4 linked regions of the Diceros bicornis minor genome follow. The main gene of each other region encodes a partner of the protein of the gene in region 4 in a complex. Links are inferred from orthologs where the notes say so. Each region holds a gene or a part of one and is shown on either strand. Other genes may lie near its edges.

Region 1 (7,487 bases), on a different chromosome or scaffold from region 4:
GTAGTGATGGCCTGGTAGTAATGGAAGACGATGAGGATCAGATTCCAGTGACTATAGAAGAAATGCCAGCAGAGTCGGGGCACTGAGTAGGTTCGGAGGATGAGGGGCAAGACACATAGGTAGGCAATGGCCACGATGGAGCTGGTCAGCACGATCACCAGCACCACGAACACCTGCCAACACCAGTGAGGTCAGGCAGATGCAGAGAGAGAGCTTGCCAACACCCAGAGTAGACTTAGGAATTTCCCGGGGTGGGGGGAGGCTGGCCTCCAAAGCCCAGTGTGGGTCCATCACACACATGTTCCTCTGCTACCCCAAAATATCCCTTTTCCTATTCCTTGGGCATCACTCACCACCCCACACCAGCGGATCACGTTGTCCACCAGCCAGTAGATGGGCTCAAAGGCAGCATCGACAGCAGTGTCAGTGCCCCCAAAGGAGTTGTAGAGCAGGGAGCGCAGGCAGACCTTGCCATAGCGCCAGCGCTGTACCAGGCCCCGGAGCAGAGGTGGGCAGCGGCGCCTGTAGCCCAGGAGCAGAAGCAGGCGCAGGCAGAGGCGGGCAGGGCCCAGCAGCAGGCTCCGCTGGCCCCGCATGGCTCCTAGGAGAGCATATTGTTGTGAGGGGCCAGCCTGGGTCCTGTCCCTCCCTACCCCACCAGTGGGGAGGCCCAGAACACCAGCTTAGAGGCAAAGACCTAAGGCTGAGGCCTAGCTGGGCCAGTCACCAGCTGTGGGAAGTAGGAAAGTCACTTCTCTACAGAATGTGTGATGCCAGTGTCCCAATCACGTTACAGGGAGTAGGGTCTGGAGGTTCTGAGCCTGCAGAAATCCTACTTACATTCCACCACGTGGTTGCACAGGAAATCCAAGATGATGCACACCTAGAGTAAAGGGCCACAGTAAAGGGGTGAGGGAGGCAGGCGGCTCCAAGCCAAAGCACAAAGCAGGGTCAGACCACCGGGTGGAGCACAGGCAATGTGCACAAAGCTGCCCACTGCGTCTCTATGGGCATGGCCACTGCAGCAGAAGTTTCCCAGGGTCTCTTGTCCGCCCTGCCCCATCAACCTACCTCCTAACAATTGCTCTTCAACATGGAACAGCCAGTAGGGGAGTGAGGGCACAGCATGTGGACTCTGCACCTAGATCTTCCTGGTGCTTTCTGACTCTTGGCAAAAGACACTCAGCCTTCCTACTCCCTCTGAGCTGACGTTACAGGCCACCAGACCCAACCTGGTAGCAGGTAGAGTCCCTAAATCCTGTCAGGACAGCTCAGCTACCCCTTGCATGATATAAGATGCTTTGCTTCCAATTCCAGGCCCAGCCCCAGCCCAAGGACACAGAAGCCAAGACAACTTCAGGTATTCAGAGCAGAAAAACACCACAGGCAGGCAACCACTGGCAGTGGGAGGGGCATCCATGCTGGTGGCTCCTAAGACCACAGGGCCTGTCCTCTCTGTGATGAGTCTCCCCTGCCTTGTTCTAGTTGGACACTCAAGAGCCTTCTCTGCGGCTGCTGCCCTTGGCCCCAAGCTTCCCAACCAGTCTTCTCGGCTCTTTAGCCCTCTGCACAGCTCCTCTGCAAGCACCTTCATCTCCTCTATGTGGTCTCTATCTCATCCAACAGCCGTGCAAGGTCACCTGCCCACAAGACACAGATTCCTTCGATGATAGTCTCATCAATTCCGCAGATTACAGTCCTTACAAGGAAAGAAATTAACCAGTTTTCCCCTAGGGCTACTTTGTCCTCAGCAACTCCCCTGACTTATTTAACAGGCAGCTTGAAACCCAGCAGAAACTGGAGGAGGCTGCTCCACTGTAGGGACAGTTTCAATTCAGTCACTGGAGCAAAGTATTCTCCTTGCACCTGGCTCATCCCCACAAGAGGCCTTTCAAAGAAAACATTTAATCACCTCCTTCCACAAGGTCTGTAACGACTTAACGCAAAATGAAATTTGGCAGACAAGGCCAGCACAGAAACAGAAGAAAGACAATTTAGTAGGGATCTACTCTCTGCACAAGGATAAAGAAACTGGCCATTCCCATCACCTCCTAAGAGCTAAGAGAATTAAGGGGCAGCGTAGAAAAGAGAAAAAGGAAAAGCTCAAACTTCCTACTTCCTTTGAGTTGGACTCCTATTCTTTGGAACCATGGTTTGGCTGGAACCTTGAATTTTCAAAATAGTATACAGCCACAATCAAATATAAGAGTGGGACAAAACATTTTACCCCACAACCATTCCAAGTGACCTGGATTGCCCACACCACTGTTCATTCCCTTACTATGGCTAATGGAGAGTTTCCTATTTGCAATAGCTTGCAAATAAGATGCATTCCTCATCTGTAATAAACATGAATTAAATACCATCTCTCCTTTCTACCAAAAAAATCTTCCTTCTCAGACTCTCCACTTTTCGGAATGTTCTCAACCACCTCCAGAATTCCTAAGCTCTACAGGAAATGCCTGCCTCAAGGACTTGACTTACTAACTCTCATCTGCCCCGTAACTTGACTGCTTAGGGTTCAGTTCTGCCTTTAAGTAGTTCTGTGACCTTGGGCAAATCTCCGAACTCTACTGAGACTCAATTTCTTTGTGTTCCCATTCAATGAAGGGGTAGGATTAAATGCTAAGGTCCCTTCCAGCTCCACCCCTTTACGATTCTAGACACACACTTGGTAAGGTATAAATGAAATGTTTATAAAGTGCTTAGCACAATACCTGGACCATGGAAGTACTCAATAAAGACTTGCTGAAGGAATGACCTGGAGGGATGCTGAAGTGGAAAAGAAAGGCTGGCCAGATGTCTATCTGTCCTACAAATAACAAGGGCATGCCTGCCAATGTGATTACAGTAAACAAGTGTCTGTTGCTATCATGTTTCATGATCAACAGAGAGACAGAGAAACCATTGCTAGAATCATATAGACTTAAGGTTAGATAGCATTTCAGAAACAAGTCCAACCAGAAATCAACCCAAATATGTAAACAGAAAGCTTGTAGATGCAGAGCTACATATCAGATTTGAAGGAACAAAGTCTGAAGCCAAGCTCCCCATCATTTTAGCTAGTGGGATTTGGGGGGTATGGGATGCCAGGGAAGAGATATGTAGTCCATGGGGCCACAACCGAACGTAGGGAGTTTTCATCTCAGGAAACTGAGGTAAAGGAGAACTCAAAAAAATTATGTGTGGGAAGCGGTCTTGTCCCATCCGTCTCCCGTCTCCCCATCTCCTTCCCCCCCCCCCCCCCCCCCCCCCCGCTGATCTCAGGGGGAAGGGAGGAAACAAAGCAAAGCACATCTTTACCCCAAGCACAAGTCTTGAGCACTACTGATCACAGGCCATAGTAACATCCCCACCAGATTAGAGGGGACTGCAGGCCACAGCACTCCCCTCTTCCCAAGGCTCTAAGTCACCAACTGTTTCCCAAGGGGAATCTGGATGAGGGGGAGCGGGTGTTGCACAGGGAGGGACAGATTCCAAAGCCACTAAAAGACAGAGAAAACTAAGATGAAAGTCGTGGCCAATCTCATCCGGACAAAGATGCTGCTCTCAGGATGTTCGCAGTCTTAAGCAGCAGAGGTCAATCATCAACAAGAGTAGCAATTTTATTCATGTGCAGACTTCCCTTCTGGACTAATGCTAGGAAGAGAAAAAGTTAAGGATGGGCCCACACTAGACCTCCGCTTGAGAGGATCCGACTGCAAGATCGGCAGCTGCAATTACAAAAACCGGGAAAAGGTTTTCTCAATGAGGGTGGCGTGGTCAAAGTGCGATGGATTGGACGTTAAAAAACTCGGATTCCAGCTGGGGCTCTACTTTGAACTATCTTCGAGACAGTGGACAAGTCAAATCCTAGCCCTGGATCTGAGTTTCCTAATCTGTGAAATGGGCGAGTTAGGTTGCTGACCTCCTCCCAGCTCCGCGCGTTACGGGTGCCCGGAGGGTACGCTCCACCCAGCTGAAACAGGGCACGGCCGTGCAGGGCGGGGCGAGGAGAGAGCAGGAACCCGGGCTCACGAGACGGCCCCGGAACAGGGCCCGACCCTAGAAAAAGGGACAGGACTGGGGAGCAAAAGCCGCGGCTTGGCTCTTACCTGCCGACTCCCCAGTCAGCCAAATCGAACCCCGCAGCCTCCGCCGCCGCTCACGGCCACCCCCTCCAGCTCTGCGCCCTGGCCCGGCTCGGCTCAAAGAGTCCAAGCATGGCCTGCCACCCACAGCGCCGGTCCGCAGACCCGGACCCGCCGCCAGCCCATTCTCGACAACAGGCGCAAGCGCAAGCGCAGGCGCTCCGGAGCTCCGCCCCCGGGCTCGTCCCTGGCCACGTGGGAAATGGAGTCTACCCCCTGAGGGGGGAGGGCCCCCCGTCGGAGAGCACGTGATGAATCGCACCAATTGGCACGCTTCTTACTGCGGAACTGCAACTGGATTTTGGCCAATGAGAAGCCGCCTTGGTTTGCCTCCGGTTTCGGGGTAGTGGCAATCATGGCGCCACCCGTGAGGTACTGCATCCCCGGTAAGTGAGCGGTGCCCACAGCGAATCCTGGACAGGCACAGAGGTGGGAAGGCTGGACGGCCAGCACCTCCTGGGGCCCCGTGGCTGATGCAGCGCTTTTTCTTCAGGCGAACGTCTGTGTAACTTGGAGGAGGGCAGTCCGGGCAGCGGCACTTACACCCGGCACGGCTACATCTTTTCGTCGCTTGCTGGCTGCCTGACGAAGAGCAGCGAGAACGGCGCGGTAAAGGGGGCGGCATCCCATCTCCGTCCCTGCCTTTCTTTTAGGCCGCCTTGGATTTCGCGGCCCTAGCCAGGGGCGCCGCGGGCGCGTCTTTAGTGCTCAGCGGCAGAACGAGCTGGTTTCTGAGTGTCTTCCGCTGTGGTCCCCGCTGCCGGGCGCCTAGCCACCTGACAGTTGTGTTAGTCTCACTTGGTTGTGTCGCTGACACTCAGGGAAGGAAGTAGGGGAAGAGCAGAGGCGAGCTCAGCCCTGCAGTGAGCTGAATTCTGTCCGAATGTCGCCTACTCTCCGGCCTCATCTCGCTTCACTGTCCCCGCCTCGCTCTCTGCGATCTAGTCATACGGGCTTCTGTCAGTGTCGCTAATGCGCCAGGCTTTCTCCTGCCACAGAGCCTCTGTACACACACCGTCTGTCTGAAACGTGCTCCTTTCCTCCTTAGCCTATTTAAGTCCTACCTATTCTTCACGTAGCCCCTCTGGTATCACTTTCTTAGAGAAGCCTCCTAGACCCGCTAGTTGAGGAGAGGAGTTTTGTTTTTTGTTTGTTGCTTGTTTTGTTAAACACTCACGAAGAATTGTATTTCTTTCCTTTCAAGCATTTATAGTTAAACACTCAGTTAAATGTTGTCCGCTAGACTCTTTCCCTACTATAAGTTCTATGAAAACAGGCCTCACCACCAAACCTTCAGGGCCTAGCACAAAATAAATGCTCAATAAATGTTTGTTGAATGCATGAGCAATACTATCTTCCCTAGTTCCAGAGACTGATCCAGGATTAACTCATGATCAGATAAGGAGTCTTCGAAGTGACAGGTAGCATAGTAGAAAGAGGAGTCAGAATTAGAAGCTTAGCCACTGGCTAACTAGACCTCGATTCTGCTTTAGGTAAGAAACTTAAACTCTTTGGCTTTAGATTCTTCCTCATCTGTAAAACGAGAGGCTTTTTATTCAATCAATTTTGGGAATGTCCTTAACAATCGTGAGTTTATTTCACAGATATAGATATCGGTTGATGTGCCAGGCACAGTGCTGACCTCTAGGGATATGGTAATGAGCCAAATACACATGATCTCTGCTGTGAAGGCTCACAAACACAAATGTTAACAAATAAATGCTCAAATGAATGTATGGTTACAAATGTGATGACTGCTTTGAAAGAATATTATAGGGTACCATGTTCTCATATAATAGGCACACTTACCTAGTCATCGAAAGTGACATTTAACCTGAATCTAAAAGGTAAATAAGAGTTGGGTGGGTGGGGAGAGCTCAGTCCTGGCAGAAATAACAGGTTGAACAGAGATCCTGAGATGGGAAGAAATTTAGTGAGTTGGTGAAACTGAAAGAAGGCGGGGAGGGCTGAAGCATAGTGAACAAGGGAAAGATTAATAAAAGAGGAGATTCCAAATATCTTGTCTTACACCAGCACACAATACCACGCTCAAAGAGAAAACTCCACAAGTATTCCTTTAAAATAGAAGTAAACAGGGCCTCCCCTGTGGCTTAGCGGTTAAGTGCGGGCGCTCCACTACTGGCGGCCCGGGTTCGCATCCTGGGCGCGCACCGACGCACTGCTTCTCCAGCCATGCTGAGGCCGCGTCCCACATACAGCAACTAGAAGGATGTGCAGCTATGACCTACAACTATCTACTGGGGCTTTGGGGGAAAAATAAATAAACAAATAAAAAAATTTTAAATAGAAATAAACAAGTATGGCCACTATTATATAACATTTATTTGGAAATTCTAGCCTGTACAATAAAATGCGAGGCAGAAAGAAGTATAACTTTGGAGGAAAGAGTCAAATTATCCATGATTACAGACCCTATGGTTGTATACCAAGAAATTCTAAGAAAATCACCAAGATACGTATTAGAACTAATTGGAAATGGTTAGATTATGTCTTCTAGCAGCATTCTTCCTGTGGCTCCTTGGCCCTCCTATTTCCTAAATTTCTAAGGCTTTCTGTTCTGGGCTACAAATGCATCTGTAGTCCCCCTGCCCTTGTGACCTCAACTGTGAACCAAGGCATTCCTGTGTTACTCTCAAACCACAGATAGCTTTACCCAAGGCTTAGCCAGGATACTCATGTTTTATTGTTCTCTCTGTAGCTTCCTGTCGTGTCTGTGATGAGAGAAACAGAGTCCCAGTTACTGCCCGATGTGGGGGCTATTGTAACCTGTAAGGTAAGTTGGTCCTAACCTCCCTGCTTAGGACACCCGTCCAATGCTGAAATCAAGATCATTATAGAACTGCACTGTCCAATATGGTAGCCACTAGCCACATATGGCCATTTGAATTTAAATAAATTAAAATTAAGAATTTATTTCCTCAGTTCCACTAGCCACATTTCAAATGCTCAATAGCCACAGGTGATTAGAGGCTGCCATATTGGTCAGCACAGAACATTTCTGTCGTCACAGAAAGTTTTACTGGGCTGTGGTGGTCTAGAGATTTCTAGATAATGATTAATCCAGGCAAGTTCCGGCATGCATAGTTCTTTCACAGAGCTGGTTCTCTGAGTATATAGTTTTACCTGTGTCTGGGGAACAGGGGCACCAACGAGTGATAAGGAGGCCTATTTTTAAACACCTAAAGTGAGACCTTTTTCTGCAGAGAAGCAAAAGACTTTAAACTCTAGCATTCTTGTTTAAAGTCTTTTAGGGAGGGTATTTCAGGGGAAGTACAAATTAATCAGTACTGTAATACATCAGTACTCCCTGCCCATCCCTACCCTCTGCCTGGTTAA
Region 2 (7,328 bases), on a different chromosome or scaffold from region 4:
TAAGGGAAGCAAGTTAGAGAAACACGTCAGAAGTTAATTCACGACATTATGTTGGTTTTCTGGGGGCCGGCCCCGTGGCTTGGCAGGCAAGTGCCCGTGTTCCACTACTGGCGGCCCGGGTTCGGATCCCGGGCACGCACGGACGCACCGCTTGTCCAGCCATGCTGAGGCGGCGTCCCACATACAGCAACTAACAGGATGTACAACTACAACATACAACTATCTATTGGGCCTTTGGGGAGAAAAGGGGGAAAAAAAAGGAGGAGGATTGGCAATAGACGTTAGCTCAGGGCCGGTCTTCCCCAGCAAAAAGAGGAGGATTGGCATGGATGTTAGCTCAGGCCTGATCTTCCTTACTAAATAAACAAACAAACAAACAAATAAATAAATAAATAAAAGTTGGTTTTCTGTTTGTGATATTGGTTAATTTAAAAAATTTGTGTTACCTGTTGTGATTTCTTTTCTTCCTCTATTCAATTTTGGATATAGGATTTTATCTTCTATTTCTTAAAGAGGGCCCTGTGTGAAAAGAGTTAACACAGCGGGCCTGAGACTGCTCTCCTTCAGGAGGTGTGCTTGCAAAGTTGGCTGGTGTCTGGGAACGTAGATTTTGGGAGGGTTCCCACCATTCCCTGTAAGAGTGGCTCACTGAGCCTAAAATGTTCGTACAAAGACATATGGTTCATGCTGAACTCCTGCTTTCCTTCTGGGAGTCTGGAATTTGGGTATGTGCCAGGCAGAGGGTGCCTATGTGACCAGTCCCCCCCGAAAGCCCTGGACACTGGGTCTCCAGGGAGCCTCCCCGGTGGACAACATTTCACATAGGCTTTTGCTCCTTGTTTCTGGGGAAATGGAGTGTGTCCTGTTCCATTTCTCCAACAGAGGACTCGGGAAGCTTGCGCTTGATTTCCTCTGACTTTGCCCCAGGTGCATTTTCCTTAGCTGATTTTGATTAATATCTTTTCTCTGTAATAAATCTTAGCCATGAGTATGACTATATGTGCTGAATTTTATGAGTCCTCCTAGAAAATCACTGAACCCAGGGGTGGTCTTGGGGATCCCCAACACAGCTCCAAAATTTGTATAAGCTTTAGACCCCCAAGACCTGGATCCCGCCATGTGGGTGACCTATGGCTAGAATACAAGGGTCAGAGAACCAAGGGGGGCAGGAATGATCCGTAGCGTAAACTGGAGATGCTGCCAGCTTGGAGGTCCTAGTTCCCAGGGGTGGGGAACACTTCCACCAGGGGACACAGTAAGGGTTCCACTGATCTGGAACAGTCACCACCCAGCCACTTTGGGCTCCTTAGGCCCATGACAAACATTATCCTGATTATCCTGTGATTCTAGGGCCAATACTGCACAACGGGGGCCAAGCACCCGTGGGGCTTCCACCTGCATCAATGGACAACTACAGCAATCTCTATCTACTATGAGCTCACATCGCTGAGGGAGGAAGGCTCGGGTCACTCTACGAGTAACCAGCTGGGTCCAGCTGAAGAGCCAAGGGTGGGGGAATCAAGGGTGGCTAGTGGCAGAGGATGATGGCCATCATGGCCTCAGACCAGGTGCAGTGGCAGGACTGTGGCTGGCTCACTAGCCCTCGTGCTGCAGTCTTCTAGGAGCCCACCACCTTGGAAGGGATGCTGTGCCTGCAGGACTGTGGTCCTAGCCTGCCACAGTACATCCATCCCACCAGCTCTTCTAACAGCCTGACATTAACCCTGCTCCTACTGAGGGGTGGGGTCCATGTCCCCTCCCCTTGAGCCTGGGCAGACCTTCGTGATCACCTTGACCCATAGAGTCTGGCGGCAGTGACACCACGTGATTCCTGAGACTAGGTCTTAAAACACCATGCATGCCCACCTTGTTGTCTTGGGAAGTCACCTTGGAACCCAGGCGCCATGCTTTGAGGAACCCATGCTGCCTGGAGAGGCCATGTGTGGGTGTGCTGTCTCAACAGCCAGCATCAACCACAAAAGATGTGAGGGAGGAAGTCTTTGAGACAATGCCAGCCCCAGCCACCATCCACAGTGACCACAGGGAGGAAAGATTCTAAGTGCAAACTGCCTAGCTGAGCCCAGGCAACCACCAGAACTGCAAGAAATAATATAATTATTTTTTGTTATTTGAAGTCACTAAGGTTATGCAAGAGGTAAACAGACATACAACCCCTACACAATGCCTTTTTGGAAAGGGTGAGGGTATCTTCATTCTTAAAGGGAAAAAGGAGGCCGTTTTACTTCATTGGATATAATGGGAGGGCATGAGAAGACCTGAAAGAGGCCACATGTGGGCCATATGGGGACACTGGCCTGTGCACCTTAGGCCTCCGTGTATGTTGCCTCCTCTTGGCGAGCGTAGCAACCACGTCGGTTCATCCTTCCACTTTCAAACTTGAAGCATGGGATCTGGCTTCCTAAGCGCTGCAGAGGGGCTGAATAATGCAACTGGTAGAGGGGGAAATGAGCTCCCTGCTGGTGACTTTGACCACTGGGAAAGAGAGGTACTTGGAGACAGGAGGTACCTGGGATGGGAAGCCCCTCATTTCTCCCTCCTGTAGACCCATCAGCAGTCCCATTGGACTGGACTGACATGAGAGGCTGGAATATACCAGGCCAGGAAATGCAAGAGAGTAACAACACCATGTCAGTAACACTCCACAGACTGGCAAGGATTATGTAAAAAACTGTAACACTTATTCCTGGTGGGAAAGGAGGGGAAAAGGAATTCACACTTCCAGCCTTCACCCAGAAAGTCCCTATCTTGGAGTTTCATCCCCCAAGTATAAGCCCCTGAACACACAGCCACTGTCCATAACGGGGCAGTGGCCAGGATATGTCCTGCTATGTACATCCATGGGTATCAAGCAGCCAACAAAAAATCAATGATAGTTCCACAGGACTATATGGATGAATTTCATAAGGTTTTTTTTTTTTTTTTGAGGAAGATCGGCCCTGAGCTAACATCTGCCAACCCTCCTCTTTTTGCTGAGGAAGACTGGCCCTGGGCTAACATCCATGCCCATCTTCCTCCACTTTATATGGGACACCACCACAGCATGGCTTGACAAGCAGTGCCTTGGTGTGTGCCCAGGGTTCCCAACTGGCAAGCCCCCCGTCGCCACATTGCAGCGCACACACTTAACTGCTTGCGCCACCAGGCCGGCCCCCATAAGGTATTTTTTAAGTGAAAAACAGAAAAGTGTGTATGAAATGTCTACTTAAAAAGCAAATTTACCTGTTATTTTATCCTTAAAACCAGTTTATTCCAGAATAGCCAAAAGAGTTCCAATTCCAGAAGTGCATGCTATGGAGAAGGATAAAATCCAGTCAACTAAGGAGGAGAGCTGTCTTTATAGAGAAAAGGGGGAGCAGGGAGGGGCTGTTCTAAAGGAAAGTCCAGGGGCCGGCCCGTGGCTTAGCAGTTAAGTGCGCGCGCTCTGCTACTAGCGGCCGAGTTCGGATCCCGGGTGCGCACCGACGCACCGCTCCTCCAGCCATGCTGACACTGAGTCCCACATACAACAACTAGAAGGATGTGCAACTATGACACACAACTATCTACTAGGGCTTGAGGGGGGGGATTAAAAAAAAAAAAGGAAAGTCCATTAGGGGAAAGTAATAGTTCGGGGCAGCAACAGCTTCTCATTGGCTGAGCTGTGGTGTTTCTCATTGGCTGAGCTGTGGTGTTTCTCATTGACTGAGCTGTGGTGTTTCGCATTGGCTGGGCTGTTGCCAGGTGGGGAGAGAAATCTTCCTTCCTAGTAAAGTAGTTGTACTTCCCGTCAGAGACACAAGCTCTTCTCTTCCTGGTTGGTGTGATTGAGACGTGTGATGGTGGTGAGAGCTCCCCCTGCAGGTCTCCCCAGTCCAGTTTAGTTAAGGTTTCTTTTATTAATTTCCACAGAAGTGATCCCATTTAAAAAAGTAACCAGAGTTCCAAGAGGCACTGTACGGCTGTACATGTACAACTGCATGTATCTGTGTATGACTTGATGTAATTATGAGGACAACATGGAAGGAACCATTTATGAGGTTAAGATAGATGGGGGGTTGCGGACAGAAGAACCATGCCAACAAGGAAAACAAAATTAAAACTGCTATAAAAAGAACATGACCACGTGTAAGTATAATATAAGTTATGCATGTTTTTTAAAAGAACGAATGTAAACATTAAAGGGTAAGAAAAGGAGAAGAGGAAGTGCGTCTGGGCCTGGATGAACCAGTGCGACCAAGAACTAGAAGCCATCAGAGACGAGACGGTTCTCCCTTCCTGCGTCGCTGCTCTCGCCCAGCGAACCGCGAAGGACACTCCAGGCGTCCAGGGATAGCACAGGGAAGCCAGCCGCCCGGGGCTGGGCGCAGAGAGGAGGCGCGGCCGGAGCCCTCGGGCCCTTGGACGGGTCTCAGGCGCGCGCCGGCAGCGGCCAGCGCGTCAGCACACTACCCAATGGGGCGCAACCGGGGGACTCTGCCCTCAGCGGGTCTCTACCCGCGGCAGCCTCAGGACAGCTCCCCCAAACGGCCGCCGGTACGGTCTTCTCTCCCGGGGTCAGCACCGCCCAACTTCCCCGGGACCGGAAATGAGGAAAGTGGCGCAGCCGGGAACCTTAGTTTTCTGAGACCGGAAGTGGGGAGTCGGACCGCCGGAAACCATATGCCCCCGGGAGGTCAGAAGTGCGTAGTCAGGGCCGCCGGGAACTGTAGTTCTCTGTGAGGCGGAAGTGGGGCAGGCGGTCGGCGGCATGGCGGGGCTGGAGCTCCTGTCGGACCAAGGCTACCGGGTGGATGGGCGGCGCGCCGGGGAGCTGCGCAAGATCCAGGCGCGGATGGGCGTGTTCGCGCAGGCCGATGGCTCGGCCTACATCGAGCAGGGCAACACCAAAGCGCTAGCCGTGGTCTACGGGCCCCACGAGGCGAGTGGGCTTGCGTGCGCGAGCCGGGCAGCCCCGGGGTCGGGTGGAGGAACAGGGCGGCGGCCGCTCTGCGGGGTGCGCGTGGCCGCCAGGCTGACCAAGGCTCCGGAGGCGACGGCCGGCGTGCGCCTGCGTCTCCGCAGCACAGTTTCACGGCCGCGGCTCACTCGGAGTAAAAGCCAAAGTCCTTACTGTGATGCACGGTGGTCCTTGCCTTTCTCATCAGCCACTCTCCCTTGCGCTCTCCACTCTTTGCTGTTTCTCAGAGCGCCAAGCGCGCTCCCACTCGCTCCCTACCTCTCACCTCTCTACTCCAACGTCACCGTCGGGATGACGCCTCCCCAGACCACCTTATCCACTTGGCAAGTCCCCTTCCCTACGATCACACACCTCCCTGCCTTTCTGCACCTGTAACCTCAGACATTAACCTATCTTTCTCATCGTTTGTCTCCCCGCTAAAACATAAACTCCATGAGGACAGGGATTTAAAAGCGCCCGGTTTTATTGCCATGTCTCCAGCTCTGAAACAGTGTCTGCCACCGCAGGCATGAAAAAATGTTTGCTTAGCACATGAGTCTAGGAGCCCAGCCTTCCAGCGGGGGGGAACCAGGAGGGGAAAGGCCAGAGGGTGGAAACAAGCATAGCACGTTTTCAGAGCAGAAAGGCTGCTGGTGGGGGAGATAGGGAATAATTCCAAATGAGATTGATGGGTTTCTAGGGAGGGGAGAACTCATGGCTTTGTGGACGAGGGAAAAGATTTAGGATTTTATCTCACACGTGATGGAAAGCCTTTGGAAGGTAAGTAGGATATATGAGTGTGTAAAGGAGATAGAATCAGATTTGATGTTTGTAAACATACTCTGGCTTTGGCTACAAATGGAAAATGGGTTGGGAGGGGATGAGGCAAGGATGGACACAGGAAGGCCTATTAAGAGAGATGAGATCCAGAGGTGATGGTGGCTTAGAGACTGGCCAGTGGCCCTCCCTCAGGCTGTATTTCGGAGTTCAAGTAGTTGTGTTTGTTGAGATGTTGGAGATAGAAGGAGAGGAAGGAGGGAGGCTGAGGTTCCAGTCCTGAGCCAGAGGAAGGGGTAGTGTGAGCTGGGAGGAGTGGGCCTGGCTCATGTGTCCTTCCTTCCCCAGATCCGGGGCTCCCGGGCACGAGCCCTGCCAGACAGGGCCCTGGTGAACTGTCAGTACAGTTCCGCAACCTTCAGCACAGGTGAGCGCAAGCGGCGGCCACACGGGGACCGGAAGTCCTTCGAGATGGGCCTGCAGCTGCGTCAGACCTTTGAGGCGGCCATCCTTACACAGCTGCACCCACGCTCCCAGATTGATATCTATGTGCAGGTGAGCAGGCAGCAGCCCTCAACCCGGGGAGGGGATGGAGGCTGTGAGAGGGGATGGAGGTCCGCAGCCTAATGGACTGATGCCGCTGTGGGGGGTCCCTACAGGTGCTGCAGGCAGATGGTGGGACCTATGCGGCTTGTGTGAATGCAGCCATGCTGGCAGTGCTGGACGCTGGGATACCCATGCAGGACTTTGTGTGTGCCTGCTCAGCTGGCTTTGTGGACGGCACAGCCCTGGCAGACCTCAGCCACGTGGAGGAAGCAGCTGGTGGCCCCCAGCTGGCCCTGGCCCTGCTGCCGGCCTCAGGCCAGATTGCACTGCTTGAGATGGACGCCAGGCTGCATGAAGACCACCTGGAGCAGGTGTTAGAGGCCGCTGCCCGGGCCGCCCGCGATGTGCACACCCTGTTGGACCGTGTGGTCCGGCAGCATGTGCGCGAGGCCTCTATCTTGCTGGAGGACTGAGCATCCAGCCACCTATGCCCAGAATAAAATCCACACAGTCCACTGTACTCGGATCTCCTCACAGCACTTCCATGCCCTCAGAGCCTGGCCTGGTGCTGGCTCCTGGGGGTGACTAGAAACCCTCCCCCACACATGAACTACATATCTCTTGCAGCCTCAGGATTCAAACCCTGAAGAAGGTGGGGGAGTGTGTCCCTGGGTGGAGAGAGCAGCTTGTGCCAGGAAGGGTTCAAGGCAGCTGAGCAGGGAGGTGTGGCCTGGCAGAATGAACCAGGCCATTAGACTGTGGAGTCTTGCATCCTCCTCTTAGCACATCCAGGACCCTGACCACAAGGGCTGAGGGAGAACTCGGCTGGCTGTGGACATGTAGGGGGCCATGTCCCATATCCCCTAGATTGTGGCTTGGATGTAATGGCCCCTTTCCCCACTAGGAGCCGCTTGGGCCTGTCCTGCTACTTACCTTGGTCTCCAAAAGTACAACAGACATGTGTTCTCACCTGGAGTCTTTCCCCCTCAGCTCTGACCCTTCCTCAGTGGATACAGACACTACCCCTGCCCCACCACTGCACCTTCCTCTTCAGCAGACTCCCCCTTCC
Region 3 (7,205 bases), about 32 Mb from region 4:
TCAACAGCCATGTGTGGCTAGTGGCTACCATACTAGTCAGTGCAGATGTAAAACATTAGCGTCATCACAGAAACCTCTCTCAGACAGCACTGCTCTAGGAATTACAGAAGATTGATGGATAAAAGAAGCCCCTGACATGCAAATTATTCGAAGCAAAATGGAACTGGTGGGGGCCCACCCAGTGGCGCAAGCGGTTAAGTGCGCACGCTCCGCTGCTGGCGGCCCGGGGTTCCCCGGTTCAGATCCCCAGCACGCACTGATGCACTGCTTGTTAGGCCATGCTGTGGCGGCGTCCCACATAAAGTGGAGGAAGACGCACATAGATGTTAGCTCAGGGCCAGTCTTCCTCAGCAAAAAGAGGAGGATTGGCATCAGATGTTAGTTCAGGGCTGATCTTCCTCACAAAAAAAAAAAAAAAATGGAACAATGGTAATTCACTGACAGTTCTCCATGCAAGATTTACTTAAAAACCTCAGAGTTGAACTTCAAAATGATGAAACTAAGGAAATGGAGAGTGAACTTGTTCTGTTAAGTATGTACCATTTGTTGGTGACTAAAGGAACTGGAGAGGAACAAAACATTCTCTGCCTTTCAGAAGCATTTGGTCTCAGAGCGCAGTGGGGATGTACATATAAACAACAAACTTCATTCAAGGCTGAATCCAGGAAGTGCTGGAGCAAAGTTATCAGAAAAGTGATTGAGGATTCGGGATGGTTTTACAGAGGTGGTGGTGTTTAGCCTGGGTCTCAAAAGATGAGCATGTGTTCCACAGGCTGAGAGGGGACAGAGTAGTCCAGATAGAGGGAACACCATGAGCAAAGGCACAAGGACAGGAAGTTATGAGTTCAGTAATGCTGGTAAATAGTTTGGTGTGGTTCAGGCATGGCTGCATAGAGGAAAAAATTATGGATGAGGGAAGACTTCTGGAGTATAATGCCAAAGAAATATGTAGGCTTTGAAGAAACCCTTTTTGTTTTTTTTGGAGGAAGGGGAGTGTGTGAGGCTGTCAGCTCTCAAAAGCCTGGTTGGAGGGGCAAATGTGTACAGGCAGGGATGTTAACGAGGAGGTCACTGACCGAGTCCAGTCAAGAGGTAGCTAAGGCCAGAACTTGTGAAATGGAGATACAGGGGTGGATATGCAGAAAATCAGAAACAGAAACAAAAAAGATCAGTAAGATTACGCAACTAAAGACACATGAGAGGTGAGTGAGACGGGGCAAAGAAACCACCAAGTTTCTGGCTTGGGTGGATAGGAAGAGTGTGGCTATGCTCCACGAAAAGCCCCAGTTGAAAACTTGAGGTAACAAGACTGCTCCTCTGTCAGCTCCAAGAAGGGATTGCTGGGAAACAGTGATGTGACTGACGTTGTGAGGTGCCAGACCCAGGACCTACAATCAGGATGGATGGTGGGCTGATATGGCAATTCTCACCACTTATTCCTCCTTCCTCCCTAAGCCTACGGCTTACTTCTTTGTCCCGTGGATACAGACATAACAGATAACGACGGAAAGAACAGATATAACCTTTCAACTCCGTAGAGATGAAACATCCCCCAATTTAAATAAGCAAATGTAAAATAAGTATGTGGCTCTGGTCCCAGAGCTGGAGCCTCGGAAGGAACTCCTGGAGCCTGGAGTGATTACACAGACACTGAGAGATCATACGACAAGACTGGGAAAAGAGGTCAAGCTTAGGAAACAATTCAGGTAGCCTCCTGAATATCTGAGTGTTTCTGAATATTTGGATGCTTTTCTTTTAAAACCAAATGCTCCCATCATTACCTGCACATTTGGTCTGTTTCTTTTAGTTGCACCTTCAAATGCCAAGTAAGACAAAGAAGCAGGCTCACTCCCTCCAACATCAACTTTGAATGTATCTCCAGATTTAGCTGTCACTATGCCAATCACATGGTCTCCTTTCACTGGGACATACTACAAAAGAAAACAGAACAAGAGAACAACCATAATGACAATCATTTCCAAGAGATCTTGGAAGATGTCTTCAGCAAGTCCTTAGTGATTATTTTATTATGTTTGTCATTAGAGATATTCCAAAAATATTTTGAAATCCAAGTTCATAAATTAATACAAATCTTACAACAAACTTGATCATACGCCATTTTCAACAAAAGAAAAACAATCACGTCATAAGCGCTCAGCTTTACAGCTTCAAACGGTCCGTATCCCATACCTCTTCAGTAACCTTATCAGGAAGGGCCCAGCCGCCACTTGCACATTAAGTCCAGTGACACAAGGCGTCCTCACAACCAAGGAAGGCCACTTCATTGTTACACAATTTTTCCTATATGAAAGTTCTCACTTATTTTAAGAGAAATTTAACTCCCTGTGACATCCACTCAGTGAGACTGGTTCTGCCCTCCGAGACCCCAAAAGATAAGCCAGGTGCCCCGACCTGTGGGATTTTGCAGACAATGACCATGTCTCACAGTCCTTATCCCGTTATACGCCAAGATTCCCAAACTCCTCTCTCTCCGGGTTGCCCTTCTCGGGCCACGTTCCCGCTGTTCACGGTCCCTCCACAGGAGATGCAGAGGTGGGCACAAGACGACGGGGCTCTAGGCCAGCCTTAACAGAGGTGGGCTCCAGGGCCGCCTCGCTGTCTCTTCCGAGAAGTCTTCCCAGAGCGGGGAGACCACCCGCACGGCCGTACCACCCCTCCGGAGCCCCAACTCACCCGTTTCTGCTGCGAGTCCACCCAGTACACGCCGCTGCCGCCGCCGCCGCCGCCGCCACCGGGCTCCTTGTGACGGAGGCGGCCGCACTTGGTGACCAGCAGGCGGTCGCCACAGCGCCGCAAGCCCGGGCCGCACACGACGCGCACCCGGGCGCGCGCCCCGGCATTCAGGCGCAGCGGCCGCTCCCCGGCGCTTCCCGGGCCGTCCGCGTCCTCCTGCTCCGGCAGCAGCAGCTCCTCACCCGGGAGCACCACCTGATCCAGCACGGCGCGCGCCGCCCGCGCCCGGCCACCCGCAGGGCACTCGGCCGCCACGGCCGCCGCCTCCGCCATACCGGACGCCACCACACACTTTCCGGCTTCCGCTTCCGCTCCGCGTCCAATCGCCAGCCCGCCCCAGCCCTTCCGTTTCCGGCAGTTGCGGTCTGTTGGACTTGAACCAACTACGTCTAAGAAGCCTGGCCGCGGCGGGCCGGTGGGCCCGCCGAGGAGGCCATGATTGTGTCTCAGCCGGCCGCCTGTCCTGCAGTCTGTCCGCGGGTCGCTCCGAGAAACACGCAGCTGGAGTCGATCGCAGAGCCTGCACTTGCCGTGCTCGGTCGCACAGTGGGATACCAGACGCTCTCACCTGTGGGTCCGTGGGAACCTTGGGAACTGAGCGGAGGGGGCCCTTCCTTCCGACTCCGCCCTCAAGGAAACGTATTTCTCTTCTTCAAAATAAAACCTTTTTGGTTGTTGCTAGAGAAGATATCTATTCACATTGTGGAAAACAGAATAATAAAAGAAAATAAAACGCATTAGTCTTCTCCCGTTTGTCTCCCTTGCTAGGCTGTCAGCGAGTTATTCTATGTAGCCCAGGGTCTGGCACCAAACAGGTAATTCCTGAAGGATGAGTGGATGTTAACATTTTGGTATGCATTTCTCCCTAGACTTTTTTTTCCCTGCAAACACACACATCACATGCGCATTTCCGCATAACTGAGCTACCCTACATGGCCCGGGAAAACTGAGTGCAGTTCAGTCCTTGCTGCTGCCTGCCCTGGAGCACACTTTAGTTGCCCGGGTGAGAAGCTGCCGAATTCCAGGTCCCCAGCACACAGCCAATCCTTGACTTTCAGGGCTCTTACTTGAAATCAGTTTCCTCTGTCAACTGGCACCTCCAACTGGCGTTTGGTCAGATCCCCCAGAGGGGTGAGAGCTCCTGGGGACTGGAGGGCCTGGCTCTGCCCATCTCTTTGAGGCATCTGCTCCCAACGTGAATTTTTAGATTTTTAGGATGTTTAAGACAGACCATCTCTAACATACCGTCCAAATTTGGAAAGATGCTGGCGAGCCAACTGAATGAGAGAATATTAAGAGGCCAACTGAAATGTAGCTTTTGTTTTGCAGTCAGATGGTTGTAGGAACTGCTCTTTGTCGGTTATCCTGGCAGGCGGAACTGTGTACATTCTTTGTCTCTCCTCCCCACTCCAACCCAGCTGTAGAAGGCCTGGAACCAGTAGGTATCGGGTGATCGCGGCTGGCCCAAGGCCATGCCCAGGGCGCTCAGTGACCTGGAGTGTGACCAGGCAGAGAGGGAGGTCGAGAAATGATCCCTGGGTTGTCCCTCACGCACCCCACGTCGGCAGAGGAGTCTGGAAAAAGAGACTTTCGGTCCAAATCTGGCTGAGGAGGCCTATCAAGTCCACCTCCCGGTGGGGGCGGCACGTGGGCATCGTGCGCCTCATTCCCAAGTCAACAGAAGGAACTAGAAGCCGAGAGTAGGGCAGTCGCTGGAGACCGGAAGCTCGGCGGGAGGGGCGGGTCGTCAGCCCCGCGCGGGGTCGCCGTCCCCGACACGCCTGGAGAGGCGGTCGGGCCTCCGCGCCGCGTGCCTTCGCGTGGGTGCGTCGCCGCCCCGGCGCCCCGCGGCCGCTGGTGAGCGGGAGCGCGCGGCCCGGCTGAGGCCGGCGGGCGGGCCGGGAGACGCGGAGGGCCCCCCGCGTGCCGGCCGGGGGAAGCCCGGCTCCGAGCCGCGGCCGGCCTTAGGGTCCGGTTGGGGCGCGGTTACGAAGTTCGCGTCCGAACGCGGACGGGCTGGAGCGCCGCGGGTGTGAAAGGGCCGGTGGAGATGGGCGCGCGGAGGCGGCCGTGCCGGGGTTCGGCGGCGCGCCTTCCTCGCGGCCGCGCGGGGGCTCCCGGCGGGGCGGCCGGGGGCTGAGGCCCACTCCTGATCCGGGCCGACTCTACCCTAGCGTAAGACAGTCTGGGGGCTTGCCGGGTGGGAGCCCGCGCAGGAGGCGCGGCGCTGCCCTCGACCGCCTCTGGCGCACACCTCCCGTTTCTCAGTATTTCCCTCGGGGGAAGGACCAGCTTTCCCTTCGGAAAGGTTGGACCGGACCCCGGCCTTCGGACTCTCTCCCCAAACTTCCTCTTTAGAAACCTTTGCTACTTGAGAAGGTGGAAAAGTGGCATCTCACGGTTGCTTTTCTTTATTGAGTAATGAAGTTGGACGGGTTTGTTTCCTTTCAATCGACGACACTAGTTGAGCATTTGCTCCGAGCCAGGAATTGAGCTGGGCAATCAGTTGAATCATGGTCCCTGCCCTACTGTCTCCGCATGAAGATACCAAGTGTTACGGTGGGTGCACCAATCTGATGAGGGTGTCAGCCCCGACTACAGAGGATGAAATGGTTCACTGTATGTGGGAGGAAGGTTGGAGTCAAGATAGGTGTCCCAAAGGAGGTAATATTTGAGTGAACCTTTAAAATTTTTTAGTTCACTGGTTTCTAACAGTTACAAATGAACTACATGCTGATTTGTATACAGAAATTAATAGTAAAAGAGTCCATAGAAGTGTTAATATCTTTATTCAAGTAAAGAATTTAAACGCAAATGCTCACAGTTACCACTGCACAAGTGAGAGTCTACTTGCTACAGATATTTTTAGTCACAAGTAATCATGGCTAATAAGAATTAGAGCTCGCACCCGAGGAAGAGCACCCTGCTGGCCAGGACCGATTGAGACCTTGTTGGAGAGGACAGGGCCACGGCTTGTTAAAGGGTGGGAGTCACTGGGAATCTGTGCCAGTGGAACTTGCTGGCACTTCTAGGGCGCTGGGGAAAGCTATTCCTGGGGAGGTGTCTCCTGGAAGGCTCTATTACAAAACTGCCTGATAGGGTGCTGGGGAAAACTGCTGGCTGCTGGGTGTTTCTGGGCACCAAGCAAAGCCTGAGAAGCTGCCATGCTGCAGGCGCATACCAGAGAGCACAATGGAGCCAGGAAGCAAAACCCATTCCTCCTGCAATGCCTCTGCAGGGCCTTCTACCTACAAAGATTGTCTTCATGAGAGACAGCAAAGGAAAGATATCTTAAAGGACCAGATCCATTTTCTCAGAGCAGGCAGTAAAGGGTGAGTTTAGAGCTGAGCAGCAATACATTGATAACTGGTCCAAGGTCTCATGAGGTTGTAAAGTCAACAAACTCATCAGTAACAGCAGTAAAGTGGAGTCTACTCAGGCCCAGATGGCTTCACTGATGAATTCTACCAAACATTTAAAGAATTAATACCCATTCTTCACAAACTCTTCCAAAAAAACAGAAGAGGAGGGTACACATCCCAACTCATTCTATGAGGTCATTATTGCCCTGATATCAAAACCAAAGATATCACAGGAAAAGGAAACTACAGATCAATATCTCTCATGCATATAAGACACAAAAATCCGCAACAAAATACTAGCAAGCTAAATCGCAACATATAAAAAGGATTATACAGTATGACCAAATGGGATTTTAATGCATCTGAAATCAATTAATATAATACACCATATCAATAGAATAAAGGACAAAAACCACATTATTATCTCAATAGATGCAGAAAAAGCATTTGAAAACGTCCAACACTGTGTCATGATAAAAACACTCAATAAACTAGCATTAGAAAGGAACCTCCTTAACCTAATAAAGGGCATCTATGAAAAACCCACAGCTAACATCATACTTAATGGTGAAAGACTGAAAGCTTTTTCCCTAAGATGAGGAACAAGACAAGGAAGTCTGCCCTCTCCACTTTATTCAACATTGTACTGGAGGGTCTATCACAGGCAGTTGGGATAGAAATGAAAAAGAAATGAAAGGTATCCAGATTGGAAAGGAAAAAGTAAAACTATCTCTAGTTGCAGGTGAAATGGTCTGGTATATAGAAAATCCTAAAGAATCCATAAAAAAAAAAAAAACTTTAGTTTAGAACTAACAAACAAGTTCAGCAAGGATGCCAGATTCAAGAACAATATACAGAAATCAATTGCATTTCTATACACTTGAAATGAACAACCAAAAAATGAAATTAAGACAACAGTTCCATTTACAATAGCATCAAAGAGAGTAAAACTTTTGGAAATAAATTTAACAAAAGAGATGCCAAACTTAAACTCTGGAAACTACAAAACATTGAAAGAAATTGAAGATCTAAATAATGGAAAAGGTACCTCATATTCATGGATCAGAAGATTTACTATGTTAAGATAAT
Region 4 (8,112 bases):
CAGGGCTAATGATGAAGTGGTCCACAGTGAAGGCTCAGTCCTTGGCACTCTTCTCTTTTTGTCCCACACTCACCTCTTGGTGAGCTCATCCAACCTAATGGCTTTAAATACCACTCATGACTGTACAGTTCCCCTGAATTCCAGACGGCAGTGAACCACTGGCTACCCAACATCTCCATTTATGTGACTAAGACACATTTTCAAATGAAATAAACCTAAAACAAAGCTTTCCAGCAGCTCCCCGCCCTCCTCCACTGCAAACTGATCCTCTCCCAGTCATCACCATCTCAGTGAACGGCAACTCCATCCCTCCAGCTGCTCAAGCCAAAAACCTTGGAGTTCTTGGAGGAACCCTTGATTTCTCTCTCTCTCTCATGCTCCAGGACAAGTCCAGCAGCAGATCCTAGTGGCTCTACTTTCACCAGAAAATAAAAGGCATCCAAATCGGAAAGGAAGAAGTACAACTCTTTCTACTCATAAACATGGTCCTATATATAGAAAATCCCAAAGAATACAAAATCAAACACCCTTTTATAATAAAAACTCAGAACACAAAAGATATGCAGAATTAATCGCTATTCCCCACTTCTACTGCTACCACCTTAGTCCAAGCCACCATCACTTCAGATGATGAAAACAGTCCCCTAATCTGTCTCCCTGAGCCTGCGCCTGTCCCTCTTCAATCCCCCCACAGCAGCCAGAGTGATTTTCTTAAAACAGAAGTCAGATCATGCCCCTCTTCTGCTCCAGCCCCTCCGGTGGCTTCCCAGATTATACAAAGTGGATGTCAAAATGCTTATCATGGCTCCAAGGCAGGCCGACTGCCCACCTCAGCTCTCTGCCTGCATCTGCTCCTACTCTCCCCCTCACTCACTCTGTTCTGACCCCACTGGCTTCCTTTCTCGGGCTAACCTTTATTGAGTCCTTTTAGGTAGGAGGCCCAGTGCTAAGTACTTTACATGCACCTTTCCAATGAATTCTAATGAAAATCCTATAAGGTAGGTCATGATATTATCCTCATTTTGCAGAGGAGGGAACAAAGGTTTGGAGAGGTCACATAATGTGGGGAAACCTTTGAAGCCTGCACTTTCTACAGTCACCTATACATGTTCCAAATCGCAGACCTACAGAATGAGAAGGCAGACGGGGGTGGGGGTGGGAGGTGTGGTGTGGCAGAAAAAACCTGGTTGTGCGATATGGATGCCACAAGACAGAGAATACACACCTTTTGTTCTCACCTGGTTTTCAAAGCTTTCACACAGATCAACTTGTTCACTCTCTCCACAGATCCAGCCACAGACGCAATGAGCTTCTCTTCCCCCATGTAAGTCCCATGGCCGCTGTTGCAAGAGGAAGATACAAAGGATATCAGGGTAACACTTGAGATGACTTCTCCCGTCAAGAACAATGTATTCCTCAAACCTAACAGGCTCCTCCTGCCTTAAAGCCTAACTTTTGTGCTGGTTGCTCCCTCTGCCTACAACACTCCTTCTCTAGAGAGCTACAGGGACATCTCCCTCATCTTACTCAAGTCTACTCACATGTCACTTTCGCCATTAGGCCTTCCTCGACTACCCCATTTAAAATAGTCACCCACCCTGCTGCTACCACCCCCATCACATTCCCAACCACATTCCACTTACCCTGCTCGACTTTTAATTTTTTGCACTGCATTTAGCACCAAACATTCTGAATAATTCATTTGTTTGTGCTTATTGTTTATCATCTGTCTCTCCCTGTTAAACTCCACCAGGACAGAGACTCCCACTTTGTTCACTGTTGCACCCTAACCACACACAACATAAATATATGTTGAATGCATGAATGAAGAACTGAATCTTAGGATTTCCTAGGATCCAAGGGCCAGCCCGGTGGCGCAAGCGGTTCAGTGCGTGCACTCCGCTGTGGCGGCCCAGGGTTTGCAGGTTCGGATCCCAGGCGCGCACCAACGCACCGCTTGGCAAGCCATGCTGTGGCGGCGTCCCATATAAAGTGGAGGAAGATGGACATGGATGTTAGCCCACGGCCAGTCTTCCTCAGCAAAAAGAGGAGGATTGGCAGATGTTAGCTCAGGGCTGATCTTCCTCAAAAAAAAAAAAAGATTTCCTAGGATCTAGTAACCTCAAACCAAAAGGTTAAAGGGCAATGCTGTAAATGCAGTAGCCCTCCTACATGTACATGTGTACCCCCCACAAAAAAGGCTGAAATAACACTTGTGTTTATCTACGATGGTGATATGATGGTGAGTTTTGCTTCTTTTCTTAATTATTACCTCATTTAATCCTCATGACCCTATCAAATAGTTACTGTTCTTATCATTTTCTTCCAGACAAGGAAACTGACCTGGGAGAGGTAATACAGCTAATAACAGGTGACAGCAGGTCTGGAACCCCAACTGTCCGACGCAGAGCTGCCCTCTTAACTACAACATATTGTACTGCTTTCAGATTTAAAGTTGTCTGTTTGGGTGCATGGAGCACAATATATTTTTGCCCTAAACCCAAACATTACTGATTCCAAAACCGAGCACCCGGCTAGGAGATGACGCCGAGAGGACAGGAGGTCGAGTCAGGAAAGCCCACCGTCCCCTCAGATAGCTGAAAACTATTAAGAGGCCCTGCCCCTAACCCTCCCCGGTTTCCAGGTCTCCAACGAGGAAGGCTCAGAGAAATGGACCTCAGGCAGAGGACCCAGGAGTCACGGCCACCAGAGATCAGGAGAGGACGGTTTCAGGAGGCCGATGGGGATACACAAGATGCAGGGACTAGAAGCCCGAGACCCGGAAACGAGGCAACTGGGATGCTCAGATGTGCCCTGGGTCCCGCAGGGCCTTAGACGCAAGGGGACAGCGGCCCGGGTTTCGGCCAGCAGGCCACGTGCAGAGAGTCCTGCAGCCGCCCCTTGTGGCCCCGCGTCCCCAAGTTCCCACGTACCGCATGAAGCCCGTGTCCGTGGTGATCGTGTCCCCCGGCACCACCAGGTGTTTCTTACTCTCGCGGCCCAGGCTCTCGCTAAGAGGCTTCCGAGCCACAGGCAGCCTCATCTCCATCGCCATCTTGGCGCCAAAGACTCGCGCAGGCGCAGCCAGGCCGCAGCCGCGAGATCCGGCCCTGCAATTCCCGGCCGTCTCAGGGAGGGGCGCGCGGGGCGGGGCCTCAGAGCAGCCGCCAATGGGAACTCACGGTCTGGCGGCCATGCTGACTATTGTCAACCATTAGGTTAACATGAAGGGAAGAAGGGAGCCGAGTTGCCATTTTTACTATTGGCAAGGCTGCACGTGTGGAATAAAATCTCGGGTTGTATACCGTTTGACTTTTTACCAAAACTCTCTGGTACTCATCATTCCATTTATTGCTTACCAGGGTTAGAGATAATTGAGAAATGGACCTCTGAGTTTCCTTCCAACTCTAAGCTGCTAAAATCTGATGTTTTTGTATGAGAGAGCTCAGAACGATCAGGAGGTGGGATCTACAGAAAACGCTATTTGGACAGAAAGAAGAGGCCTTTTTCTTACTGTTCCTAGTAGCCCCAGTATACTACGTAACAGCCGCCCCGTGGGTGCTGGTTCCTTCTTTCATAATGACTTCTTTGGAGTGAGGTGATTTACCCTAACATTTCTTTTGAAAAAACAAGAAACCTTTAAACGTTACAAGGCAGGTATATTTGGTAGGGAAGACAAGTGCACAGATAGTACAAAGATCCTGGCTTATATTTCCTTCACTTATATATTACTTACATACTGGGAATTCAGCGCTTGCTGTGTGCCAGGCTCAGTTTTGAGGATACAGCGTGGACAGAGAGATGTATATGTGGTTTTTTTTCTCGGTGTCCTGTTTAACATAGGAGCATTTCTGTCGTCTCATCTCCCCGCCTCCCACTAGCCTCTCCCTCACCCTTGTCCTGCATGGTTTGTAGTATTCACAACAAACTGAGTTTCAACCTCAGGAAATTGGAAATGATAATTCTTTATGCACGAGGACCCTAAAGAGGATTAAATGAAATAAGATGCATCAGCCCCACATGCTGTGTTCAGTAAATCAGGCCTGCTGCCTCCATCAGACCAATTGTTTGATAAATCTCCAAATTGAGTGAATTTCTTTCACCTAAGCAAGGCTTACTACTACACTTGTCAAGAAATCCAACCCGTGCGGCAGTCGATGATATAAATTCTAGAGCTCCATAGGTCATCCCGTCAGTGGGCAGACCAAACACTTGCCCTCTTCCCTGCCTGCAGCAAGATCCTAGAGCCAAGAAAGTGTGAGAAGGGTCCATCTGTTGAGTCCAGCCTCGGCCATAAGAGGGCAGTGGTGTCCTTTGAGCCAGCATAGCCCAGTCAGCTAGGGAGCTGGGCCTAGGAGTGCTCCTAGACCGAGTGGGGTGTAGTCTTGACATCATCCAGTCTCATCCCAAGAGGGATGGACGTAACCTTAGCCTCTCCCATTCTCACAGCACTCACGTTTACAAGCCTGTCACAACGTTGAGATTATGGATGCTCTCTTAGTGTGGTAGCAGATTCAGTGTCTGGCCAGAGCTCATTCCCTGGTTCACAGACCACTGTCTTCTCACTGGGTCCTCACATGGTGGGAGGAGTGAGGGAGCTCTCTGGGGTCTCTTTTATAAGGGCACTAATCCCATTCATGAAGGCTCCCTTTCATGACCTAATCACCTCCCAAAGCCCCCACCTCCTAATACCATCACCTTAGGGGTTAGGATTTCAACATATGAATTTGGGGGGACATAAACATTCAGTCCATTGCAGATATCTTTTTATAGAGGAGGAAATCGAGGCCCTCAAGGACTGGAATTCACACAGCACTTGGTGGCAGGGCCAGTGTTCCTTCCGACTGCACCTGCTGTACCCCAGACCCTGCACCCTTGCCTACACACTTCCGGGGGGCCTGGTACTTTGCTGAGTGCTTTACAAACATTGTTGTAGTTATCCCTCACACTCGGCCCATCTTGGAGGTAGGCATTGGTATTCCTGACAATCATTTGGGGCCACCGAGTCCCAACAACAGACCTGCAGCTGGGACTAGAACCCAAGACTGCAGAGCCCCCTCTGGTGCTCCTGTCTCTGCATCGCACTTGCCTCTTCACACCCCGGAGACAAGCAGCCACCCGGAAACAGAGTGCACATCCCAGAGGGGCTTGTTAGAAACAGATTCCTGAGCCCAGACTTAGCCGTTGAGGTTCTACAAAGGTGGGGTCCCAGAAGTCTCTGAGTGTGTGTTTTAACTCCGTGAGTGATTTTAATGGCCAGTCGGGTCTCACATTCATGGATTCCCCCACATCCATCTACCTCCCCATCGGTGCATCTCCAGGGCCACACTCCAAGCCGATCAACGTCATCCCTTACCTGGGTATCACCTAGTAGCTCGTCTCCCTAATTCTACATTTGCCTCCTACCATCCAATCTCCATATAGCAGCCAGAGGGAGCTTTAAAAAACAGATCAGATTAAACCATTTCCTTGCTTAGAACATTCTGGCAGCTTCCCTTTACACTAAGAATAAAATCCAAACTCATCATTGTGGCCCTGTCCATCTCTGACCTCACTTGCCTCCTAACCACTCCCTTACTCACTATGCTGCAGCCAGATGCGCTGGTCTCTTCTGAGTTCCGCATGCAAAGCTTGTCACCACCCCCAGGATCACTGCGCTTTTGGCGAGCTCTGCATGGAATTCTCTTCCCCCAGGTCTTTGTGTGGCTGGCTGCTTCTCCTCACTCAGATCTCAGCTCAAATATCACCTCCTCAGAGAAGCCTTCCCTGACCACCTGATCTGGAATAACTCTCAGTCCCTTTTTTATCACTTGATCCTGTTTTACTTCTTGTCACTGAATTTTCTTGTTTGCTCGTTTTTCGCAGTCTTTCTCCACGAGAACGTGAGTGCTCTCAGAACAGGGACTTTATCTGTTTTGTTCAGTGTGCATCAGTGCTGAGAACTGAGTCTGGCATATAGAGGGCAGCCATACAGTATTTGTTGAAAAGATAAGATAGATTTACAAAATATGTATTTGCTTGTTTGTTTGCTCCATCTGTCTCCCCCGAGGGATATGAACCCCGCAAATGCCCAGACCTTGTCTGTTTTGTTCACAGCCCAGTCCTAGGACTGTCTGGATACATAGCAGGCCCTTGTCTTAACCACGTCCTCTATTTTCTGTGATCTGATGCTTGGATATCTTAGACTTTGCTGATCCTGAAAGGACTGCTTCTCCCAGGGTTAGCTAGTTCCTAGATAGTTAACAACTGGCCCAGGAGTGTGCTTTTCATGTGCAAACTACCCAGCCCAGAGCACACACCCCCAACCACCTCCTTTATGGGGCTCTCACACCCCGGGCCACTATCCACCTGCCCTCATCACCCCAGGGCCAGGTACCAGACAACTAGGGACAGCCCCTATGCCTCAGAGCTCATTGAAATTATTCAAACTAGCCAATCCTAAGCCTGCTCACCCTGCCTCACCCATTCCTTCCTGTGGAAACCACAATAAAGGCTTCTTCCCACATTCTGTCCTTGCTCCCTCTGCCTCCTGATCAAGCCCAGTGCTTCCCCATGTGTCCCTGCAGGGTGTGCTGTGCGTCCTGTTTCTAGCGAATCGTGAACATAACAAACTTCTCCTTTTGTAGCAGTCATTTCCATGTTTGCATGTCTTACCATCCCTGATGAAAACAAATCCCAGGTACCCTTGGAACAGCACCCAATAAATATTTGTTGAATGAATGAATGAACTTATTCAATAAGCGTCTGCAGTTGAACAACAGCACCACTGTGTGCTGTGGGGGCCACAGAGCTGCATCACTGGCTGCCCAGCCATCAAGGGGCTCAGTCAGGAGTTCAGGGATGGGGCGTGGGGGAGGAAAGAAAAGCCCCCCGGACAGAAGTGGTATTTGAGTGAGCCTTGAGGTGAAGGAAGTGTCCACACTGGGCAGTTGGATGGAGGGAGACAGAGGAACTCCAAGTCAAGGTGACTGTCAACTTATGCTACATCTTTTTTTTTTTTTTTGAGAGGACGATCAGCCCTGAGCTAACATCCGTGCTAATCCTCCTCTTTTTGCTGAGGAAGACTGGCTCTGAGCTAACATCTATTGCCAATCCTCCTCCTTTTTTTCCCCCAAAGCCCCAGTAGATAGTTGTATGTCATAGTTGCACATCTTTCCAGTTGCTGTATGTGGGACGCGGCCTCAGCATGGCCGGAGAAGCAGTGCGTCGGTGCGCGCCTGGGATCCAAACCGGGGCCGCCAGTAGTGGAGCGCGCGCACTTAACCGCTAAGCCATGGGGCCGGCCCAAAGTATCAATTTAAAAAGCCAATTCGCCTGTTATTTTATTCTCAAAACAAGTTTATTCGGGAATAGCCAAAAGAACTGCAATTCGGGATGTGCATGCTACAGGGAACCACGGGCAAATCCAGAGAACAAAGGAGGGGAGCTGCTTTTATAGAGAAATAGGGGGAGTCAGGAGGGACTGTTCTAAAGGAAAGTCTATTGGGGGAAAGTAACAGTTCTAGGCAGCAACGGCTTCTCATTGGCTGGGCTGTTGCCAGGTGGGGAGAGAAATCTTCCTTCAGTAGTAAAGTAGTTGTACTTCCTGTAGGAGATGAGAGCCTCCATCTCTTCCTGTTGGGGTGTAATTGACATGTATGATAGGGCATGAGAGTGCCTCCTACAGGCCTTCCCAACTCCAATTTAGTTAAGGTTTCTTTTCTTTTCTTTTTTGTGAGGAAGATCAGCCCTGAGCTAACATCCATACAAATCCTCCTCTTTTTTTGCTGAGGAAGAACGGCCCTGAGCTAACATCTATTGCCAATCCTCCTCCTTTTATTTCCCTTTTTCTCCCCAAAGCCCCAGTAGATAGTTGTACGTCATAGTTGCACATCCTTCTAGTTGCTGTATGTGGGACGCTGCCTCAGCATGGCCGGGCAAGCAGTGCGTCGGTGCGCACCCGGGATCCAAACCCGGACTGCCAGTAGCGGAGTGCACACACTTAACTGCTAAGCCACGAGGCTGGCCCCAAGGTTTCTTTTCTTAATTTCCATATAACCAGCAAGGAAATCTTGAAAAATGTGAAAATAGAGGCAGCAGGGACTCTCTGGCCAGGAGTTCTGGCCCAATTGT

Evidence for each region.
Region 1: EXOSC2 (region 4) and EXOSC1 share a complex: the UniProt entries of both Homo sapiens proteins name them as parts of the RNA exosome core complex. The link is inferred for Diceros bicornis minor from reciprocal best matches to the Homo sapiens genes EXOSC2 and EXOSC1.
Region 2: EXOSC2 (region 4) and EXOSC4 share a complex: the UniProt entries of both Homo sapiens proteins name them as parts of the RNA exosome core complex. The link is inferred for Diceros bicornis minor from reciprocal best matches to the Homo sapiens genes EXOSC2 and EXOSC4.
Region 3: EXOSC2 (region 4) and EXOSC3 share a complex: the UniProt entries of both Homo sapiens proteins name them as parts of the RNA exosome core complex. The link is inferred for Diceros bicornis minor from reciprocal best matches to the Homo sapiens genes EXOSC2 and EXOSC3.

Annotation. Positions count from the first base shown.
Region 1 is NC_080745.1:63,229,663-63,237,149, reverse strand, and holds the start of EXOSC1 (exosome complex component CSL4), read left to right. Parts: upstream 1-4,431; 5' UTR 4,432-4,485; coding exon 4,486-4,516; intron 4,517-4,623; coding exon 4,624-4,739; intron 4,740-6,849; coding exon 6,850-6,924; intron 6,925-7,487. Other genes in the region: palmitoyltransferase ZDHHC16, read right to left, coding at 1-173, 354-596. UniProt on the Homo sapiens protein: Non-catalytic component of the RNA exosome complex which has 3'->5' exoribonuclease activity and participates in a multitude of cellular RNA processing and degradation events.
Region 2 is NC_080760.1:56,710,846-56,718,173, forward strand, and holds EXOSC4 (exosome complex component RRP41), read left to right. Parts: upstream 1-4,648; 5' UTR 4,649-4,747; coding exon 4,748-4,918; intron 4,919-6,061; coding exon 6,062-6,268; intron 6,269-6,372; coding exon 6,373-6,732; 3' UTR 6,733-6,779; downstream 6,780-7,328. UniProt on the Homo sapiens protein: Non-catalytic component of the RNA exosome complex which has 3'->5' exoribonuclease activity and participates in a multitude of cellular RNA processing and degradation events.
Region 3 is NC_080767.1:6,212,208-6,219,412, reverse strand, and holds the start of EXOSC3 (exosome complex component RRP40), read right to left. Parts: upstream 3,043-7,205; 5' UTR 3,028-3,042; coding exon 2,695-3,027; intron 1,932-2,694; coding exon 1,782-1,931; intron 1-1,781. UniProt on the Homo sapiens protein: Non-catalytic component of the RNA exosome complex which has 3'->5' exoribonuclease activity and participates in a multitude of cellular RNA processing and degradation events.
Region 4 is NC_080767.1:38,100,749-38,108,860, reverse strand, and holds the start of EXOSC2 (exosome complex component RRP4), read right to left. Parts: upstream 3,075-8,112; 5' UTR 3,056-3,074; coding exon 2,934-3,055; intron 1,341-2,933; coding exon 1,239-1,340; intron 1-1,238. UniProt on the Homo sapiens protein: Non-catalytic component of the RNA exosome complex which has 3'->5' exoribonuclease activity and participates in a multitude of cellular RNA processing and degradation events.